Mus musculus: one gene and its partners. The protein of the gene in region 3 purifies or fractionates together with the protein of the main gene of each other region. This does not show direct contact. Links are inferred from orthologs where the notes say so. Each region holds a gene or a part of one and is shown on either strand. Other genes may lie near its edges.

Region 1 (5,173 bases), on a different chromosome or scaffold from region 3:
CTAACCAGTAAGTATGTCTCTAGTTAACCAGTAAGTATGTCTCTAGTTAATGGTAAGTATGTCTCTGGTTTAAGGTGATCGAATGCTGCAAGCTGGTACTGATTTGCATGCTGTCTCCTGTGAAACCAAGATTTAAGTTGGCAAATTATTTTCCTCTCTCTAATGTATGAAGGAAAAAATAAGCTGAAGTCAACAGATAGGCTTTATAAAGTCAACCTTGGGGAAGCGGCTACCAGAAACAGTTTCCCCTTGAGAAGTGCAGCCTGTTGGCTCCCAAGGTCATTAATGCTGGGATGGTAAAGTAGGGAGACCAAAATGGAAGTCTTTGCCTTTGTCATCAGGCAAGCTCTCAGAGCTTTGCCTTTGTCATCAGGTCAGCTCTCAGAGCTTCCTTGTCAGTGTCCCCCAGCATCCATCCCTTTCCCCATCCCCACATCACTTCAGCCCAGCAGGTCTGCCTTGAGACAAGAAACTCTTGGCCCCAGTGCTGCTGGCATTTTGTGCTGGATTGGGAGCAGCATCCTGTGTACTGTGGAGTGTCAGGCATGAACCAGACCCTGCTCTCTAGACACTAGGGGTAACTCCAGTTTTTTTGTAGACATTGCTGTATGCCCACTGCCCCTTTGAGAGCCCTTCTTTTCCCTTGCTTCCCTGGCTGCCCGCTCTCCCTGTCGTAACTTCATCTGGACCCTCACTGAGGACCAGTGATGGCAGGAGCTGGGAAGAGGAAACGCTCTGCAGTATTTCTTCACATGATCGTAATGAGCACCAAGAATGCTGTTGATTGGGGTCAGAACTGTGTCGTGTTTTCTTCTACTCTGTAATCAGCTACTGGCATCTTAGTTCTTTGAATGGAGAGAGAATAGCATCCTGTTGCAGGAAAGTTAACTTAAAAGCAGGGAGACATGGATCCTGACCCCAGTCCCATGATAAGTGGACTTAGCCTGGGCTCTGCCTTACAGGCCTCTCCCTGCTGTGGGGGACAGGGTGGAGCTAGATGCCTGATTTTCAGATTGCTGCCTAGAACCTCAGGGACCATCCTGAGTGCTTCCTAGCCCTGCTTCCACTGACTAGCTCATCCTCCAAGAGGGTACCCTCGCTCCTTTTATGCAGGGAGTTTGTGACACCCCCAACACACCCCCTGCAGAACCATGCTGACTCCCGGCCTTGTTGCCCTGCCTATAGGTAGCCTTTGTGTAGCACTCTCTGGGCCTTCTATCCCCAGCCCCCACTGCTGGGATGCTCAGCTCTCCTGCAAAGGTAATTTGCAGCTGATAATTCCTGAGCTTGCACAATTGCAGTATGCTAATTTTTGCATGGCAGGAATTTGATAGTGCAATATGCATGGCCCCTTTTCTCCTCCTTGAAGTATTAGCCTCAGCCCAACTTCATTATTTGCCCTTATTCATAATTTCTAGGGGCCGGTAGCTTTAGATTATCAAGATATTAGATAAAGTGATCCATTTAAACAATAAATGTGACATTGTACAGTGTAGATGAAATGCTGCCTTGTGTCTTGTGTGCCGAGGACGACTTTGCATAGAATCCTTTCTGACATAGCTGGTAACACTTGGGCTTTCATTCATGTCTGAACAGCATGATGTAGAAATAAATAAAATCATACCTACGAGTGCATCCAAGACAGAAGCACCGGCAGCCGCAAAGTCCCTGACATCGCCCCTCGATGACACAGAAGTAAAGAAGGTGATGGAAGAGTGCAGGCGGCTGCAGGGGGAGGTGCAGAGGCTTCGGGAGGAGAGCAGGCAGCTCAAGGTAACGCCCACCCTCCAGGGTCCAGCGGTCATAGCTGGGAAGTGGGGGAGGGGAGCCTAGAGGGTTTGTTTTGTTTCTTTGCATCTGCTTGCTTTTTTCTCCTAAGGGGACATATTTGCAGAGCTTTCTTCCAGTTCTCAAAAGCCAAGGCACCTAACTAGGCTGTAGATAAATCAGGCTGACTGGGGAGGCCAGAGGCTCCCTTGCATGTTACTGTCCACACAGTTTGCATGAGCTCTTGGGTCTCAGGCCTCAGGCCTATTTGCTGAGCGTGTCTCTGGCTGACTTGTGGCTGGAGACCTGTGCATCTGACTGTGGATTTAGCTGATGTGGATATACCTGAACAGTTGAGTATAGGAACTTGAGTTGTAGCTTAAATTCTGGGGCCTATTTGTTCTTAATCTTGATGATGCCACCCAAGCATGTAATAGGTTTCACCTCTTTACCTGCTGTGGCAGCAGATGCACACAGCACACTCCTTTAAGCCGACTCCCTGCATTAGCTCTGAAGGAGATGCAGGAAAATGGCAGCTTGGAGCTGCCCTCAGTGTCTTTGCAGACGCTTCTCTTTAAGTTTCTTTCTCCTTAGAAACAGAGTTCTGCACCATTTAAAGTGATCTATAGGTAGGGATAGCTTCCATGTAAACCCAGTAAAGTAAATGCTGCATTTTGCTGTGCCCATTGTTTTAAAGTTAACCGAATGCTGCAGCTCATTCGTCACTGTGCTGTGATGCTGGCCTTGCCCACGAGCAGAACATCTTTAAAGTAATATCAGAGCCATCATGATGTGCATGTGGGTGGGGTGGGGTGTGTGGCGGGTGCTTTACCCTGCCAGACATTGCCTTTTTGTTTAGTGAGATCTGCTGTGTGCCAGGCGTTGTGGGCTCAGCTATGAGCAGGCTGCCCTGGGGAGCTCCCTGAGAGTGGGGCTGAGGGTGAGACAAGACAGTGACGGTTACAACCCATGTCCTTAGTAGGCCTGTGGAGAGCTGCAGATCACCGGGAGACTCCACTTGGCATTTGACAGATAAGAAAGAAGCAGAGGAAAAGGACGGAGAGTGTCAGCAGTGTGGGGGTCCGCCTGGCGCTGGCCCTGTGCAGAACTGGGGCCTGGGAAGGGCCGTTGGAGGAACCTGCAGGGCCCTTAGCCCGGGGTGGGGGGTGCGGTGGGTTGCAGCAGAAGCAAAGGAAGACAGAATTTCGTTTATTTCCCACCTGTCCTGGGGGGATTGTGATGGGTGTGATCTGGTGTCTGCCTGCCTGAAGACCAGAAGTCACGCATTGGTTAGAAGGCAAATGAAGGTTTTCCACTTTCACTTTTGGGACAGTGGGTGTTCATAGTATGTGTTTAAAAATCGAAGGGACACTTGATTTGGCAGTCACCTAGACCTGTTCCAGACCACCAGAGCTTCAGGGGATGCAGGTCCCTACTGGATAGCTCGCCGTGGGTTGCAGCTTAGGAATAACTGAGATTTCGCTCAGAGATGAGCTGACAGAACAAACTTCAGGGTTCAAGACAGGGCAAAGGTCAGACCTGCAGGTAGACAGGTGAGGCTGAGGCATGGCTAAAAAGCCTGGCTGCCTCTCTGAAGACCTTTCCTTGTGGTTCATGGAGAGATGAGGGGTGTTTTTGGTTGGTGTTGGAGAGAGAGAGAGAGAGAGAGAGAGAGAAAGAGAAAGAAAGAAAAAGCCAGGATGTGCTTGACAGTACGGTTTGGCTGGATTGTGTCTGCCCAGCCCTGAGCTGCTTCTGAAACGTGTCCTTGTTCCCCCAGGAAGAAGACGGACTTCGGGTGAGGAAGGCGATGCCGAGCAACAGCCCCGTGGCGGCTCTGGCGGCCACTGGGAAGGAGGAGGGCCTGAGCGCCCGGCTGCTGGCCCTGGTGGTTCTGTTCTTTATCGTTGGTGTCATTATAGGGAAGATTGCCTTGTAGGGGCCGCATGCGAAGGATGGCAGGTTGGATTGATGGATCTACCACACCATGGGATTCAAATTTATCATAACCATGCGTAAAAAGAAATTAATGTATGACGGCATCTCACAGGTCTTGCCTTTAAATACCCCTCCCCATGCACACACAAATGCACACACAAATATAGCATAATATAATGATCTTTTAGAAAGTTAAAAATGTATAGGGAATGGATGGGGAAAGAATGGTCTGTTGCCGTAGGACGGGCCGTGATTAACCACAGTGGCATCTTGTAGCTGTCACGCTCAATTCGGGTAGGCCTGGGCACGTGTTGCTAGATCACTCTCTTAAAGCAAGAAGCTCCTCCTCGCATGTTGGGGCTGGCCCGTGGGAGCGGGAGTCCTGCAAGGTGGGGCGAGCTGTCTTTTTCTTACCCACGTGGCTTCCCCAGGCCTGCTGTTCTGTCCAGGCATCGTCTCCTCAGGCCTACAGAGCTGCAGGTGCCAAAGTGCATTGCACAGAGGCCACATCTCGTGTACCTGTGGGTCGTGTGGGAGAGACATGAGTGGACCAGCGGGTCCAACACAGGGAAATCCAAGTCTGTGCTCTGTTCTCTTGAAGGGACCAAGCTAAATTACCGCTGGTTCAAGTAGTGAACCGAGTTGTTCTCGGAGATGGCTGATGCACATGTAACCTATTTCATCTCGTGTGTTCCTGCTGCCACCAGAGCACAGGCAGTGAGTGCTGCAGACCGCCAGTGAGGAGCTGCTGCTGTGGGCTCTGGAGGTCTGAGGGAAGGGGAGGGTCTGAGTCAGGAAGTGTTTTGTTGTAGGTCAGTAATAGCTGCCCTGAGGAGGAACGCTCTTTTTAATGACAGTCAGCTCTGGATTACCCAGTCTTCTAGATTGCCCTACCATCCATCCTTCTAAAACATAGGCCAGCCTTGACCTGCCCTTCTCAGGATGAGTGAGTCAGGCTGCAGAGGGTGAAGGGCATAGAGGGGGTGGGGTGGGGTGGGGGAGCCCTCAGCAAATCCATCTGCTGGTGATGAAGAGTCCTGACTGTGAATTAATTTCATGCCATAAAAGACCGATCCAGTTCTGCTCAACTATGTAGCATCTTAAAGGAAGAGATTAAAATAAAGCCCCAAATTAAGAGTCCTTTTGTCATTTTGTCACATTTGCTGTGTGGGGTTCTTATTATCAATCATCGTTAGTGTGCTATGGAAGGTTGATTTTAAAATGAGCTCTATCAGTGGGAAACACATGTGTAATGATTTGACTCTGCACACATCTGTGTACACACGCACACACATATATTACTATTACTTTTATTATTATATTTTGGTTGGCTTCAGCTTAACAGCAGGAGCCATCTCAGGCTGGCTGTCCTTCCCCTTCTGTGACCTTGGCCCTTCAGTGACAGGCCTGAGTCTGAGAGGACAAGCCCATCTAAAGGAAGACTGGCCTAGACACCCGAGATCACACT
Region 2 (5,173 bases), on a different chromosome or scaffold from region 3:
CCAAATATAACAGCTAATTGCCCTTTATGTCCTAGCAAATAAAGCAAGTGTTTAAGACGGAATAACACAATCCAGGAAACAAGGCATAGCTCTAATCACCAGACCTCACAAAGAACAAAGCAGTATTTCATAGCTGGAATAAGTTCTCCAAATTGTAAACATACTCATACAACTGTAAATGTCTTACTCCCTAAAGCCTTTTTCTTTGATACATTATCAAAAATAATTAGTGATGAACTAAAGACTGTTTTATGAAAACAACATTTTACATGGAAGCTCTTTAATCAGAAAGTTAACTGAAGTCCATATTCTATAACATTCAGCTTGCAACACATACAAATGTGGGACGGCCATAAAGCAGGAGCTCCAGTCATACAAAGACATCTGAGCAGAAATAGTTCACTAAAAGTTTGCACACCACTGACAGTACTTCACTGGCAAGAATTTAGTTTATAAGCCATGATCAAAATTATTTTATACTTCAAGGCTGGCAATGCTTTGTGAGTTAGACTTTTCATCAATACCACTTCCTGGAGACTAAATTAAATCAAGAAAAGCTTCGATCACTATTACTGAGCAAATATACTAAAAACCTGCCCTGAAAAAGCAGATGAGAAATGATCCACCAGTTACCTGATTTAGAGGACTACTGCTTACATTGGACGATTTACTGGTATCCTTCATACAAATGATTTCATTTTCACTTAGACTGCAAAAATGGAGCGAATTCAGAAGATCTGGAAGTTCCAATGAAACTGCAGCTAGATCCTAATTTTAAATAACAGTGACAGTAATGAACAATATTACAGAATAGCAATGTCAAGGTTTCCACAATGTTGTCCACTCAAAACTCATGAAATGTACTGGTCAATAAATTGTCTGCTTTGTAACAGCTCACATACATACACAGTTTATCTACAGAGTCATTTTTTAACTCACAAATAAAGCACAGGTTACTTAGTAATGCTTTGTATTGTAGCCTTTCGAGCATTTTGCTACCTCATCAATCTTAAAACAGGACACCTCACACACCCATAATGATCAGCATTTAAATGCTTTTAGTAGTTGTCACCCTCAGGTCTTCTGGGTTGATGCTGGAGTTTTTCATATAGAATTCTTAGCTACTGAACACCCTTCTTCAGAGACTGAGTTTTATCTCTTTAAAATATAAGTTTACTTTTTCCAAAGATATTGTAGTAAGCTTTCAAAGAGTTTATGCAGGTTTAAGGAAAGCTAGCTTTCTTTTCTGTTACCTTTTCTTTTGCCTTTTCTTTAAAAGCATTTTTTCCAGCACAAGGTTCCCTCCAGTCTTTGCCCCCGAAGAATAGAGGCTTCGTACAGGTGGTCCTGTCTAAGCTCCTGAGGGCCAGAGAAGGTGTGCTGTTTGTTTTGTTTTTGAAAGAATGTCACTCTGTAGGTGAAGCTGGCCTGGAACTATGCAGCCCACGCTAGACTCTAACTCACAGTGACACTCCTGCATCAGCCTTGCAAGTCCAGTTCTATATTTGCATGTTGTTCTGGAGAGTATGCCCTCTCTGGTTTTGCTGTCCAGGCTATTTCCTTCTGGCCATGAAAATCAAGACAGACTACAGAGTTTGCAGGTATACTCACCAGAGAGAACTAATACAGAATTGCTAGTTTTCTAGCAGCAGCACAAGGAAAACCTATCTGCAGTGATTTGTGCAACTTTCAGGCAACCTTTCATTGATCCTAACCTCAAATATCAGTCCCCCTATAAATGTCTAAATGAAATGGGCTATAAACTTGTACACAAATCTATAAATATGCAAAAATTGAGAGCTTTTACAAATCTGATCTTTTATATTTAATTCTACTTCACTAAAAATATAAGAACCTTACTTCTGAAATCAAATTGTGAAAGCCATTAAAATATACAAATGTTACATGCAATATAATGAACAGAATGAAATAAACAGCCTGTGGTTTAAAGATTTCAGATAAATGATTTTAATTGTGAAATCTAAATCTGCTTTCCTTAGCAAGATTTATATCAACAAAAGCTAGTGATGGTAGCACACAGTTGTTATCCCAGCAGTTGGGAGATGGAGGCAGAAGCTTTCGACAAGTTTAAGGCCACAGCAAGGATATCTGACAAGACCTTGTCTCACAAATAACAACAAAGGAATTCTTAATAAAAATACTGAAATTAAAGATGTACAGGCCACACTCAAATGTTATCTTTGTTTTGAGGGGATTGGGGTAGGGACAGAGACTCACTACGTAGCCCTGGCTGGCCTGGAACACACTGTACAGACCAGCCACTGGTCCTGAACTAAAGTTCAGCCTGCCTTTGCTTCCTGACTGCTGGAATTAAAGGAATGCACCATTATGCCTGGCTTCAAATAGCATCTTTTAGCTTTAAAAGATACCTTATAATCAGTGTAAAATTTGAGCACTAAAGTTTTCAGTCTTCAAAATTTAAGTAGCCCCCCACAATCTGCCATTCAGTAAACTGGCCCCACCTGTATATGAGCAGCATCTGTTTCTTCATTAAAGCCCAGAAACGTGACCTGAATTTAAAAAAAAAATCTCCATTAGTTTACTGTGTTTAAGTCCTGGGTCAGAACGTGGACAAGGCACTAAACACTGGGCAGGGCAGGCAGTGTTCCTAATGACCAAGGTTTCCACCACACTGTAGCTCTTGAACCTCACCATCCACCTTTCCCGTGCCCTCCTCATCCCCATCGTCACTGCCATGCACTCTTACTTCCGCCATCACTGGACTGTCCACTGCCATGCCACTTGTCCGTTTGCCATGGTTGTTAATAGATGCCTTCAGCCTGCCCCAATTAATCCCAGATTCACTCCAACCCCATACCCACCTAACATGGTGTTACCATTAAAAAAAAAAAAAAATTCAGGTTCAATTTGTGTTGCCCAAATACTCTCCATTATGAGGCCTGTCTTGGAGCACGGTCAACCTACAAGTCATACCCTCAAAATAACCCAACTGCTTCCCAATCACTAGTATTATGTACAGCTTTTAAAAACAGAGCCTGAAGTTATAAGAAGACCATGAAAACATATTGTGCACAATTGCAAAAGGGTTCAGAAAGTCATATGGCAAACCTCAGTTAACTGGGGGTGCTCATCCTGGTTTAAACACTCTCCTCCTGATACACTGCATAGCTCCTTCTCGCTCTGTAATAAAGACTTTACAGACCGGAACACATCTTCACTGAAGCTCTGTGGAATAAATAAGCAAAACAATTTAACTCTAAGACAAGTAAGAAAACTTGCAGATATTTGAGTTTTACAGTTACTCATTCACCAATTAATATTTTTTAAATTATCTGTTAAGCTCAATTCTGCTGAGAAAAAAATTCAAGTTCCTGGAAAACAATACAGACCTATACTCCAGATTCACTTATACTTACCTCTTACACCAGTGCTTCTCAACCCTCCTAATGCTGTGACCCTTTAATACAGCTCCTCGTGCTGTAGTGACCCTCAACCATAAGATTATTTCATTGCTACTTCATAACTGTAATTTTGCTACTATTATGAATCATAATACAAATATCTGGTATGTAGGATAATACAGATGTGACACCCCCCAAAGGGGGTCAAGAGAGAACAGGTTAAAAAATCACTGCCTTACACTAAAATTAGCAAACTGCATATATTATTTCCAAGTCCCTAACAGAATAGAAACAATTCGTATACTGAGTGAAATGATGTAGCTAGAAAAGGGTACATTAGCATCAACTATTCTTCCCTTAAAAGACAGAGAAAAAATTAACTAAAAATAAGACTTCCTAGTGGTCTTAAAGCAACTATATAACAAAAATAAGAAAAATAAGAGACTCCGTGTCTGGGAAAGAAAATTGTCAAAAATGCCAAGTGCATGCAGGAGACAATGAATATTACAGTCGGACAGAAAGATAACACTAACTTCCCACTAACTCCAGTATTCCTCTTCTCATATGTGGCCTGCTCTCCTCACCTGTGGGACTGCCTTACACCACAATCCTGCCCTATAGAACCCTATCACACCAAGGCTGAAGACGATGTCCTCACCCGTCAGTCTAAATTTCTCCTTTACTGTTTGCAGATTAAGGTTACTTGATCTGTATTATAACATATTTTAATTACAATATTCATGTGTATATCTTCTCTGCCCACTGAACTGTATCATAAAAACTGTAATATTCCATTCACTTCATCTCCTCACACTTTACATCAAGTCAACAAACAGCTGCTAACCATAAAAAGTTCATCTAACTTAAATCTGTAATCTAAGAGATAATATTAAGGAATTCAAGAAAAAGCTATGTAACGTTAAATTTCAATCTCACCTATCAAGATGTGTCTATTATTTTTAAAATACTACCTTTTCTAATGCAGGGTCTTAGAATCAATAACCCTCAAGTAGCAATAAGCAGATCGCATACCCAGATTGTGGTTTCTAAACACAAACCAGCAATTAAAAGAACCAGAGCTCCTCAGAAAAATGTCTGGTTCCAGATCCTGGACAGAGAGAACATACAAAAGAAACTATACCATCTAACTGTGCCAGAATACAGAGAAGCGCTCAAAGGCTAAATTGGGCAATTTCAAAAGAACACAGAAGTCACTGTATTACTCAGGAATCCCCACTGGCTACATCTGGAACAAGCAGGGCACCAAAAAGAACAGAAATGGTAATGCATCCTAACTTCTGAGTTCAGTCATAGTGTTCTTTGCCTATGATTGCTGGATGACAAATAGGGGCAAACTGATTCCATTAGAAAATCCTCTTTGTAAGGCTAAACATACTGATTTGGAAAGAATTATTAGTATATCCTAAATCTATGAAGTTAAAAGCTATTGGGAGACAGGCTACTCACATTTCTCAAACTATCATCACATAGCTTCCTTACTAAGCATTTAATCAAAGTTATTCTGCATTTATATTGGAGACAGCAGATGGTTACAACCTTGACCACTTCCTCAAGAGCACTGACGATATTACCTCCTGACCCGACACGGGAGCAATGAAGACCAGGGAACCTCTGAGATGTTCCTGATAAATTGTACAGTAAAAACCAATGTGGCATATTCTACAGGAGAGCTAGCTCAGATTTTTCCAAAGATATAGTGTCATGAAAATAGGATCTAGACCACTGGACTGGTTCCAGAATGAGGTAACCAAAATATTCAATGCAGTATG
Region 3 (5,786 bases):
TCATCGTATGCCAAGTTTTGCACATCCTGGAGGCTGGAGAGAAGGCTCTGTAGCGAACAGCACTTGATGCTTTTGCACAGGACTCAGGTTCAGTTCCCAGAACCCACATGGTGACTCACTGTCATCCCAGCTCCAGAGGAGCAGGCAAAAACAGTCACACATAAAAATAATTAACTCTTTAAAAAAAGAAAGACGTGAACATCCTGTGTGTCTGTGAGTCACACTGACCCACACAAAATACAGATGCAACAACAAAGAATCAAAATCCAATTGCGTATTTTATGGGGAACAAGCACTCACTAACAAACAAAATGTTAAGCATAGTAAACATGTGATAACCATCCATCTCCTATCCCCTTTATACAACAGTTAATTCACCCAACAGTAAAACCAGAGTTCAGAATCTGTCAAGCTTAGTCCACCCCAAGCTAGACACACACCTATTTCTATAGTGTTAAACTAGACACACACCTATTTCTATAGTGTTAAACTAGACACACACCTATTTCTATAGTGTTAAACTAGACACACACCTATATCTATAGTGTTAAAGGTGGAATAAACTAATAGCTCGCCTGCTTGGTAAAGGAAAGCATGAACTGCCTTTAACTAACTCTCAACTCACTGTCACACTACTTTTGATTGATTCTGTTAGTCTATTTTCTGTATTATTTCAAATAGCTAAAAACAACAACCATCAGGAAACCTGTTTTAGCCACACAAGCAGCATCAATTTGGTTTCTGGCAACTTCTAATTAAAATTACTAAAAAATCCTTCACTGCATGATAATCTGAATTTCTGCTTGACTTACTTGGCCAGAACCCCTCTTGCCCGAAGTCACACATCAGTTGACATTCAGAAGCTCTAAGCACAGCAACTGTCATGGTCATCAAATCGCTCCCTCATGAATTTTACCTTCTCCAACCTCTCAAAGTATTCCCGAAGGAATGCCATGGGCCTCTCGGGCCGCGTAGTGCACAGCTGCACGATGGAGTCCTTCAGCAGGGCCTGGATATTGTGCTTCTGCACATAGAGCTCGCATTCCCGGAGACTCCGCTCTTCCTCACTGGTTGCCATACTGCCAGACGCCATGGTTCTCTGGGAGACAAAGAACACACATGCTGGGTAAGCTAGAAAGCACAGATGCAGATCTGGCCTGGGACTTACTTAAATTCACGAGACAGCAGATTCAAACATTTCTTTACTCAACAGCATTTGTGTTTAAAGAGGAGGTGGGGGTTGGATATAAACTATCCCAAGTTTCTACTGTCTCCGCTGGGCAGGTCACGCAGAGAAGACCCATAGCTCCTGGGAGGAAGTATGAGCCAGCGTGCCTGCCCTGCTGAGCAACTGAGGCAGTGCTGAGGCCCCAAGCCCTCTGGAGATTTCATTCAGTTCTCTTGCAAAAGACATGACGATGATGACGTGGGAAGTATGTAAGTGGGAAGCAGGTCAGAGAATTACAAGGGCACACAGGTCGGCTCTAAGTGAAAGCACAGCTCACAAAGAACACCTGACATTCCCCTGAGTGCACCTCCCATCCCATGAGCGCAGCTAATGTCACAGCAAACCACAAGGGCAAAGAAGCTGATTAGCCAAATATTAGTGGAATCGAATTTTCTGAAACACAAAAGCAGCCTCGGGTGCCTTTCCTCAGCAATCTTTCATTCCCTTCTTTGACTAACTCTGCCCGTGACTTAGAAATACAATTACCAGCAGAAAGAGTTGAAAAGGCTGTACTAGAGGAAAATAATCTCTACCAAGCAAACTAAGATTTTCTTCATCTAGACAGGAATATATTAAAACATGCTAGTTTACAGCTTACAGGATGACTCAATAGCTAAAACTGAATTTGAGCAACATTAATATGAAATAGAAACACAATAATGGGCAGCCAAGCTGCCTCAGGACTAAAAGCTCAGTACTTTATGCAGCTATTCAGTTTTCCTCCTAACTCCTAATTACTAAGCACTTGAGATTAGAAGATGACGCCCTCTCCACTCTGCATACCAATTCCACATAACCACTCTTCAAATTATAATGCTCACAGACCCTCTAAGGTTAACCTGTGAGTTAAAAGATAAGGATAAGGAGCCATTTTAAAGTGCTGCACTAATGTTTTGTTTTGACAGTTTTCAAGATAAAGGTCAATAATATGCACGCAACAGACCAGGACAAAGTTTGTAGCTCCATGACAAGCACAGAAAGAAATTAGAAGCCACAGACAGACAGACAGACACACACACACACCACCGTCAGTTCAGAAGAAACACTGAAGGGAAGGTTTCTACTGTCAGATATCGTTTGTTCTTGTTGTGCTTCCAGGTCAGAGCACGGAACGAGACAAAGAATCCACTTCATTGGAACTTTCTCCATTTCAAATACTGAAGGCCACCAGGAACGTGGATAAAAACAAATCTATTATGCTTCGAAGCATCCAGCCATATTTCAAGAATGTCAGCACATATATTTAACTGATCAGAGAAATCCCTCTTAGATCCTGTCTCTGGCTGGGAAGGATGGCGCAACTAGGGCTGATAAGTGAAAAATGGTGTATGCATTACAAAGACCAAAAGGCAGGCACTGGTAAAGAAAATACAAACACCAGTCATCATGTGAAACGCCAAATAATCTAATTTTATGGCCTTAGGATTTTTAATCGGGTATGTCTTGGTTCCACGTTTGTATTTACTTTTTAAAAACCCCACAACTTAGCTTCTCTCCAAAACAAACACTAAAACCATCATCACTGCATCGAGTATTCGTAAGAAGGGGGATTCTTGAGGAAATTCGGTTCTGATGACACTCTTGCTTTCAGAAGGACTATACTGGAGGACATATTTAAACCGCCTTTGGGAGCCTGTTGCTGACAGGGCCCACATCTAAAGGATGCCAAGTAACACTAACACAGCCTGGGGGGTGGGGTGGGGGTCATCATCTAAATGCGAGCCTTCATTTCTCTGCTCAAGAAACCTATCTATCCTGGCTCCCTCAAGTCATCGGCTGTCCCCACACCCGCTCTGGGCTGGAGTTAAGGGTTAACGGGCGCCGCGTATTTTCACGAGGGAGGGCAGGAAAGTGCCCTTCACTTCACTTAGGCCACGGTCATGATCACTGAGAGCAGCAAGACGGCCCCTCATCCCCCACCAGGCAGGAGGCCGCAGACGTGGAGTGGAGCGGAGCGGGAGGCCTGGGGAGGCTGGGGTGGGCGGTGGTGGGGGCTGGAAAGGACGAGAAGTGTTAGGGGGACAAAGGGAAATGGAGCTAGGCTGAAATCACCGAGCGGAGGGGTGGAGGGAGACGAGCCCGCGAAGAGGAGGGGGGAAGCCAGGGCAGAAGAAACGACTGGGCAGAGATGAAGACTACAGCCGAGTGGCGAGGCTAAGACCGAAAAGCCATGGCGGATTCCGGTTTAAAAAAAAAAAAAAAATACCGAGCTCTTGTCCTTCAGGAAGTGGGGGAGGGAGGACGGGCGCCGAGGCCGCGGCGCGCGGGGGCGGAGGCGGCCGGGGAGCCGAGGGCAGCGCAGGACCGGGGACCCGGAGACACTCAGGACGGGGGCGGAACGGCGGGGGGCAGGGGCGGCCTACGGCCCCGCGGGGAACGGTGCAAGGGCGGACCCCGGGGGACAGTGCGAGGCCTGCGACAGGCCCCGAGGCCGCCTCGGAGGCGCAGGGGGTGCGGCCGTCCCCCCGCAGCGCGCTCCCCGGGGCGCCATCTTGGCTCGCTCCCGCGCCTTCAGGGACGCGCAGCGGAGCGCCGCGGCCGGCGACTCCCCGGTCAGGCCTCGGGCCCGCACTCACCTGAGGGCGGGCGGCGGCACGAGCAGGGGCTAACGCAGGGCGAGGCGGCCGGGGTGACCGAGCGTCCAGCGGGCTCAGCTCGCAGCCTCACTACCACTCTGCGATAGCGGCTCGGCGACGGCTCCACCGGAAACCAGCCGACCGCGGCCAATCAGCGTTCGGCTGCTGACGTCAATGCGCCTCGCTCTGGCCAGGGCGGTTGCCTTGGCAACCTTAAAGGCGCAGACGCCTAGGATCCTCCTCCAACCCCATCCCCACCCCCCTCAAGCCCACCACCGGCTACTCCCACCCCCTACCCTTAGCCCGTCGTCATCTAGCTAGAACCGTTCTCTTGCAGGGCACCTCTCCATCTTTATCTTGTCGCGTATACGTAGCCCCTTCATCGCTCTCATCTTTTTCCTTCTCTTTCTGCTAACCCGTTTCTGTCTCCTTTATTGTCCCTTCCTTACCAGGTGTGGTGGGGGGTCCTCTAGATTGTTTAGCTGTTCGGAGATCTCAGCCTCTCCTCGGTTCCTCGGTGGCTCTTGCGTCTGCCTCCCTCCACGCCTCTGTCTTTTCTCCCTCCCTTCGACCCTCCTACCGCAGACCCACGTGGGACGATTCGGTGACAGGTGGGCGACTCCGCCCTGGGTGCTATGGGACGGCAGGGAGGGGGATGGGGTTACAGGACGCTGGGCGGACAAGGAGATCCCTGCTGTTGGAAGAGGAGGAGGCCCTAGCGGATCTACCACAGCTGAGCGCAAGCGGATGCTGAGATGCTCCTGATGGACAGAGCGCGCATCCTGTGTAGACCCCCGCAATACCCGGGGTTCCGGACTCGGGCCTGTCATCCGGTCCAGGAAATCTGAGCCCCTATCAAGCCTCTGCTTGGCTAATCTGACTACTGTCTCCACAAGTGAGCTGTCATCAATGGAGGCCCTACCGTGCCTACAGAAGCACCAGATGTAGGGAGACTTCCAAGAGGAGCCCGGAGTCCTGATAATGCCCTAGCCTCCTATTATGCCAGACTGCGTCATGGGCAGTACAGACAGATGGGCAGATCAAATCATTGACCAAGCAAGAAATCTGAGCTGCATGAGAAAACAAGAGAAAAGGCGACTTCATTATTCCTTCAGTCAACTTTCCCCTTAAGTATGTGAAAATGAAAGCAAGGGACACAATTTTAGGCATATGAATTAAATAAATAAAGTGGGCCTAAATAAATACATAAATAAAATAGGCCCCTGCAGTGTGTGGTTCTGAGTAGCTGCAAGGTGTTGACAGCCTCATCGTGTATGTGCTAGGGCAATGTGCGTAGAAAATATCACGGATTTAACACTTAGTACCAAAAAAGGTTACAATATCTCCTGCATAATTTTCACAGTGATCCCCAGTTAAGATATTTGGGTTAAGTGGTGTTTGTAAATTTCACCTTTTTAAGCCTGACTTTGTCTTGGAATACCCAGACTATGATAAGGGCTCTGAACATTAGTTATGATTACCCCCCCTAGTAGTCAGAGGAAGGAAGGGGGAAGAGAAGGAAGCCGCTCCCTCTGCAGCCTCTCACCAGGATGTTGATCAATGGCTTCTTTTCCAGAGATGGGTAGAGTGGAAGATTAAAGACCGAGTCGCCATCATGCAGGCTTTCCCCCTCTCCAGTGCTGATAAACCCAGCCCTAAGCTGGCAAACGGGAGAGGGAACTGGATAGCACTGAGCATGCCCGGTCGTGTTCTGAAGAAAGGAAGGAAAAAAAACAAAACCACCCACTGCAGATAAATCTGTTTGTTTTCATGCTTTGCCATCTCCTGTGAGGAACTTAATCTCCTGGAGCTTCATTTTCCTGCATCTCGAAGGGATAACTGGGACTGTATTAACACTGACGAATAAAAGCAAACAATCGTAGAGCACCTACCTCATGTGTAAACTGCCCTAGATGCTTCAGACAGATAATCATTCCATGATGTTATCGTTTTGGAAAGAGCATGACACAAGAGGTTGAGTG
Region 4 (5,935 bases), on a different chromosome or scaffold from region 3:
AAAAGCATAGCTGTTTAATACAATGTACTTCCAAGTCAAATTTTGTTTTTATATGTCAATATGAACTAAAATTTTAAAAATAACACTTGCCTGCACTAGCTAATGTGAACCTTTATTTTAGTTACATGAAACCTGCATTCAACTCTCACGTACCCAACAGAAGACTTTACACTCAACAGCTTAACATTATGAAGTTGAGGTGAAGCATAATTTCAAAAGATTCCTTCATTTAGGGACAACTTTAGGTAACTTAAAATAATTTAATAAGTTTTTCCAAGTAATTAAACACCAATTTTTAATCCCCATATTTTGTAATCCCACCCTATGCGAGCACTGGGTTATGAGTTCCCACAGACTGTCTTGCCATCAAACATGACAATGGGTAGGACAGCACAGGGTCCCTGCCTTCAGAAGACATACCACTCCATACACTACTACTCTGGTCCTACAGCTGTGACAGGCAAACTGTGAAGTTACAGGTGACCCTGTCTGTTATGTCCAAGCAAGAGATCTGTTCCCAAGTCGAAAGTAGACAAGTACAAATGGAGGAAACCCACCAAAACACTCAACACAAAATAGAGTGTTAGGGCCAAGTTACTGTCTAGAAATACCACAGAATTCTTAAAACTAACAGCTGCAAGTGCTGAGCCATGTTCTTGACAGACTTTCTGGAAACTTGTGGTGTTTGCTGGGTCTGAGGGCTAAGCTCCTTCTTGAGAGGTAGAAGAGAAGTTACTGGGAAGAGGGACACTGGCTGGCAGGTGCGAACAAGAGCATCCCCAAGTAGCAAGAGATTCAGAAATGAAGCCCTCCCTCCCTCCCGCCCTCCCTCTAGGAGTCCAACTATGTATACTATGTAGCTATGTCCTGCAGTACAAAATGATTCTTGGTCATCCAAGATTCTATACAAAATTTCTTTCTGGAACAGACATTTGCCAACCATAAACTCTGTAACATCTCTGTGCTATTTAAATTTCTATTAAAAATGGTTTAAAGTAATACCCAAAGTAAACACATACAGTATTTCTTTCCTTGACAGTTACATAATAACACCCATGACAGAATTCATGCCATGTCTGAAACAAGCCATCTTAGCTTTACCCTCAGTCACTGCACTGCACAGCACAGACTTGTCACACTGTCAGTCACTCCCATCTGTGAGTCACAAGCACAGGAGTCCAGCCACGAAGAAAACTCAGTGACAGAGTAGAACTCTCAAGTGAGACTTCTCTAGCCAAGGGTCTTTTTGACTATCCATGTTCTCGTGAATGGTATTTTATTTTTCAACTCCTAGCACATAGCAGTGGCATAGCACAGAGCATAGAGGTTACAATTTTAACAGGTCACACACCAAAGTGTCTTCAAGAAGCTCCACTGGCTCAGTCAGTCAGTTTCCTATCCTTACAGATAACAACCATCCCTTCAACTCTGCTCCTTCAAAAGACAACAAAATCTTCATCATCCACCAGGAATACAAAATGTGTGTCCTTGCCTTACAGACACAGGAGCAGCCCTTCTAGAACAATTTCTGAGCTTATGCCTCTCTGAGGTAAATACAAACTTTCTGTTGCCATTTTTACAGAGTACCTGGTATAGACGCTGACAAGAGTTTTAACTTTTTGGACAGTACCACAGACACCACCGCCGTGCTAGGGCAGAAGCTCCGAAGGGCAGGGTGCTGTAAGACAAGCACCCTGAAAATCCACATATGCAAATAAATCTTCTTAACCACTATTCCTCTGAAACCTTGACAAGTGAAATTTGAGCTCCTGTCTCCCACTTACAGTCTATTTAAAAATGTAATTCTTTAAGACAATTAAAAAAAATTTAACAAACAAAAAGTAAGATAATTCCACTACATTAACATCTCAAATCAAAATACCTAATAGTTATTCTTAACGTGCAAAGTACAGTGTCAAAAGAGAAATGTAAGTATTTAAATAAAAAATAACTTCACACCAAACTTTATGACTTATCAATACGCAAAAAGAACTCTACACTGTAACAGTTAAACGCAAAGAACAAAATGCACCAGTGGTTTCAATTCTTCCACTGAAAAACAGACTAGTTTACCTGGGGGGGGGGGGGCATGACAAGTTTCATTACAGGGGCTCATCTAAACTGTACTTCTGCAAACCCTAAATTAACTCTACCAAAACCTGTACCCAAACAGTCTAGGTTACAGCCCTGAGTCATCATACAGTACTTAATAATAAGTTAGGAGCCAATGAACAGAAAGCCAGGCTAACAACTGACATAGGCCTCCTGGAGTACTGGCTGTATGACCTTGGACTAGTCACTGCCCACCTCTAGGCTCAGTCTGCTCATCTGTAAAATGGGCAGCATTTCCAACTGGGAGGTTATTCGAGGTAATATATAAAAGGCCTTGCACTAATCTATGAGTGTGCAAACAGTTACAAGGAATATTTTCTTGGGATTTGGCAGAACTCAAGAAGCAAACGATGCTGCACCTCGACGACAGGAGTCACATAATCTAGGGCTGGGCAAAGACAAGACAAGTCATTGGAGTCACTGACTCACGAATTTTGCCATTTTTAACTATTTCGGGGTAGGGAGGGGCCTCTAGCTTAGTGCTGATATTCAGCAGCTCTGGGGCCTCTGGAGCCTGAGTGGGTCTGAGCCTATAAATAGATGTTGAAGTTTTGAGGCGATACACAGGTCTCCATTCTAATTCCAGTCTCCTCCCGCTGCTATGCAGGTCACCCCGGCCCCTCCGGTGCCCTGGGTGGCCCGCGCTCGCGGCCCGACTTCCGAGCACACCAGGTCCCCAGGCCCGAGCGCGGGCCCACTGGGCCTCGCAGGCAGCAGGCTGCCGACCTTCGCCGGCCCGGCCCGGCCGGGCCTTGCGTCCTCGCCTCCCGGCCGCCAGCCCCATTTTCTGATCCCGTGCATTGTCCTTGCCCAGAACCCCGGCGCTCCGCACGCCGGTGGGGACCGAGAGGAGGGACGAGGGAGGAGCTGGGGGCAGAGGATGAGGAGGAAGAGGAGGAGGAGGAGGAGAACAGCCTCCTCCCCTGCGCCCGGGCAGCCAGTGGAGGTCTGGCGCCGGCCCGGCCCGAGGCAGCGGGTCCCACCCGCCGCAACTTTCCTCGGGGACGAGGCCTTCTTCCCCGGGCCCCGGGCCGCCCGCCCGCCCGCCCGCTCGCTCCTAAGATGGCAGGTCCCTCCCTCCCTCCGCTTGAGGCCTGGCGAGCCCGGCTCGCAGGCCCCGAGAAGCCGCGCGCTGGGCCGCGCCGCGCCGGGCGGGGCGGACACTCACCGGGACGATGGCGGGGCGCTCGCGCCGCTCCCTCCGGTGAGTCTCAGCCTCGAGCTCCCGCGCCGCGCTCCCGCCGCGGCCTCCGCAGCCAGCGCCGCCCCGGCCGCCTCTCTCCGCCCCCGGCGTCCCGGCTCCGCGCCGCAGCCGCGCTGGCTCAGGGTCCGTCGGGCTGGCGGGGCCGGCGGCGCCCGCGGCCGGGGAGGCAGGCGACAGCCCCTCCCCGGCAAATACCGCAGTCCCCGGGCCCCCGAGTGTCGGCGGCGGGGCCCGGCCCGGCCCGGTGCGGAGGGCGGCGGCGGCGGCGAGGCCGGGCGCCGAGTGGCGGCCGCTGCCGGCCGCTTCTTCCCGACGAGGATTTTTGTAAATCTCACAAAATGGCGCGCGCTCCGAAGCTGCGCAGCGAGCAGCGCCGGGGCCCGAGCGGCGGCGGCGGCGGCGGCGGCTCCGCCAGGAGAGCCCGGACCGCCCGCCCCCGATCCCGCACAGACACTCGCGCACACTCACCGCGCGCACACTCGCCCTCGCACACGCTCCCTCACACTCACACCGGTCCCGCCCGCTCGCCGGCGGCGGCGGCGGCGGCAGCGGCAGCGGCACCAACAGCAGCAGCAGGAACAGCAGCACAAGCGGCGGCGGCGGTGGCGCCCGCACCCCCGCTCGGGGAGTCCGCTTTCTCAGCCCGACCTGGGCCGCGATCGGCAGCAGCGACGGCAGCAGTCTCCCCGGATCCCCCCGCCGCGGTTGCCGCCGCCACCCCCGCCTCACTCCAATGGGGCTTTTTATTATTATTCGGGCGGGAAGCGAAAGGGTTTAAAAAAAAACCAACCAACAAAATGGCGACGGACCGACCCGGTCGCTATAGCAACTGTCAATCAAAACGCAAAACCCCGGCTGACGTGCTGACGTCCTCCGCCCGCCCCTCCCGGCCCCAAGCCGGCGGGCGGGGCCTGTTGCTCGGGTAACGGCAGATTCCGTTCCCTCCTTCCCCTCTCTCCTCCGTCCCCCAGCCAACCACCCAACCCCCCTCAGGTCACGTGAAGGATAAATTCGGAGCTCGGGCCCGCTATGAGTGTCAGAGGAGGGCGCGTGATTCGCTCGGGGGAGGGGAGTGGAGGGAAGGGAAGGGAAGGGACGGGGGCGAGGCGGTGGCCTGCCGGTGCGCGAGCGAGCGAGCGAGCGCCTGCCGCCTCGCGGCCGCCTCGCCCCGCCCCCGCGCTCGCTCCCACGCCGACTGCGGCCGGGCCAGCGCGCGCCCCCGTGGCGCAGCGCGCTCCCGCGCCGCGAGCCCGCAGCCCCGCCCGCGCGGCCCGGGAAGGAAGGGAAGCGGAGGGCAAGCCGCCCACCTCGCGGCCCTGGGAGGCCGCCGTCGCGAGCCCCTATCCCGACCGGGCCCGCGCAGGCCTGGACGATCGCTGGCGTCCGGCTCACCTCCGGAATTACGCCCGCGGCTGCAGGCGCGCGGCCGCCACCTTACTCGGACCGTGCCCGCGCGCGGGCCGCGCAGAAACTTTCCAGGCTGGGCACGCTCCCGGGCGCCGGTTCCCCGGCTTCTCCATCGGAATGCCCAGCCAGCGCCAACCCCAGGGCTTTCGGAGGGGGTTGGGGGGGGGGGTTGTTTTTTGTTTTTTTTTTTATTGTTACCTGTCCTAAGTCACCTCGGTTTCCCGATTCTTAAATTTGCCCACTTGGCCTTAACCGTCGAATCTTCACCGGAATTCTGCCTTTCGGTTTTTTTGTTTTGTTTTTTATTCTACTGTCTTCCGCCTGGCTAAATACTGCTGGGTGTCCTCTCGGGCCATTGACACTGAAGTCCCCTGTGCTGGCTACTTTGTAATTAGGAGACAGCTACTGGCTAAAATTGTATTTTGTACCTATTCTAAAATAATGGCGTTAGCTAGTAGCTTAAAAGGATATACATAAAGATATTTTCGTGTGTAAGTATATACACTGTTGCACACCAAAAGTAACTGGATTTATTTCTACACATGGTTTTTACCATAGTGGTGTTGACGTTTTGCTTAAGCTCTTTGCAACAGATGCAGTCTTATAAACAAATGTAAAAACACCAGTCAATACTGGTCTCTGTGCAGTATGATCCTAGGAAACACTTGGCTTCGGTGATTTCCAACAAACCTCCTATAGTTAGCACACCACTGATATACTAAAGCACCTATTCAACTTACAAAAAAGGGGGGGGGGGCAAAAACTAAAGTAAATTAGGGCACAGGAAGGAAAGTAAGTTGCTTTAGACTGCCTCGGATATAAAACATTTCCAGCGTCTGACAAACATACGTTTGGCTGCCCTGTTGATATAATTTAATTAAAGTCCACAAACAATGTAATTAATCTGAAGAAACTGAAGTGTCCAAGAGTGTCCCTTACACAGAAGTTAGTACCAGGTCCTTCCCAAACACAAGCTTTCTCCAGTTCCTCCTCCTGCCTCACCTCCAGGCTTCTCACCCCATTGACCAGATATTCTTTTCCAGCACAACGCTAAAAACTAAAATCCCCATCAAATGTTTGAAAGCTGGTAAAGGGGAAACCTGGGTAACACTGGCCATCTATGACAGGGTGTCAAGGAAGAGCTCAAGCTGGAAGCCACTCCGTGTGAGGCAAAGTCTGAAGGCTGTGCACACTCGAGCTTAGGCAGTGTTG

Evidence for each region.
Region 1: the proteins of Prkar1a (region 3) and Vapb purify together in Homo sapiens (affinity purification with mass spectrometry; 3 studies listed by BioGRID and IntAct, counting the BioPlex papers as one, with this or other methods). This does not show direct contact. The link is inferred for Mus musculus from reciprocal best matches to the Homo sapiens genes PRKAR1A and VAPB.
Region 2: the proteins of Prkar1a (region 3) and Akap11 purify together in Homo sapiens (affinity purification with mass spectrometry; 3 studies listed by BioGRID and IntAct, counting the BioPlex papers as one, with this or other methods). This does not show direct contact. The link is inferred for Mus musculus from reciprocal best matches to the Homo sapiens genes PRKAR1A and AKAP11.
Region 4: the proteins of Prkar1a (region 3) and Dyrk1a purify together in Homo sapiens (affinity purification with mass spectrometry; 6 studies listed by BioGRID and IntAct, with this or other methods). This does not show direct contact. The link is inferred for Mus musculus from reciprocal best matches to the Homo sapiens genes PRKAR1A and DYRK1A.

The regions. Positions count from the first base shown.
Region 1 is NC_000068.7:173,774,516-173,779,688, forward strand, and holds part of Vapb (vesicle-associated membrane protein-associated protein B), read left to right. Parts: intron 1-1,596; coding exon 1,597-1,773; intron 1,774-3,547; coding exon 3,548-3,706; 3' UTR 3,707-5,173. UniProt on the Homo sapiens protein: Endoplasmic reticulum (ER)-anchored protein that mediates the formation of contact sites between the ER and endosomes via interaction with FFAT motif-containing proteins such as STARD3 or WDR44.
Region 2 is NC_000080.6:78,515,690-78,520,862, forward strand, and holds part of Akap11 (A-kinase anchor protein 11), read right to left. Parts: intron 3,208-5,173; coding exon 3,091-3,207; intron 2,532-3,090; coding exon 2,484-2,531; intron 769-2,483; coding exon 634-768; intron 1-633. UniProt on the Homo sapiens protein: Binds to type II regulatory subunits of protein kinase A and anchors/targets them.
Region 3 is NC_000077.6:109,649,092-109,654,877, reverse strand, and holds the start of Prkar1a (cAMP-dependent protein kinase type I-alpha regulatory subunit), read right to left. Parts: upstream 3,930-5,786; 5' UTR 3,805-3,929; intron 3,537-3,804; exon of another isoform or gene 3,435-3,536; intron 1,123-3,434; exon of another isoform or gene 1,100-1,122; 5' UTR 1,094-1,099; coding exon 917-1,093; intron 911-916; exon of another isoform or gene 534-910; intron 503-533; exon of another isoform or gene 1-502. UniProt on the Homo sapiens protein: Regulatory subunit of the cAMP-dependent protein kinases involved in cAMP signaling in cells.
Region 4 is NC_000082.6:94,567,880-94,573,814, reverse strand, and holds the start of Dyrk1a (dual specificity tyrosine-phosphorylation-regulated kinase 1A), read right to left. Parts: upstream 3,610-5,935; 5' UTR 3,281-3,609; intron 2,909-3,280; exon of another isoform or gene 2,839-2,908; intron 1-2,838. UniProt on the Homo sapiens protein: Dual-specificity kinase which possesses both serine/threonine and tyrosine kinase activities. Exhibits a substrate preference for proline at position P+1 and arginine at position P-3.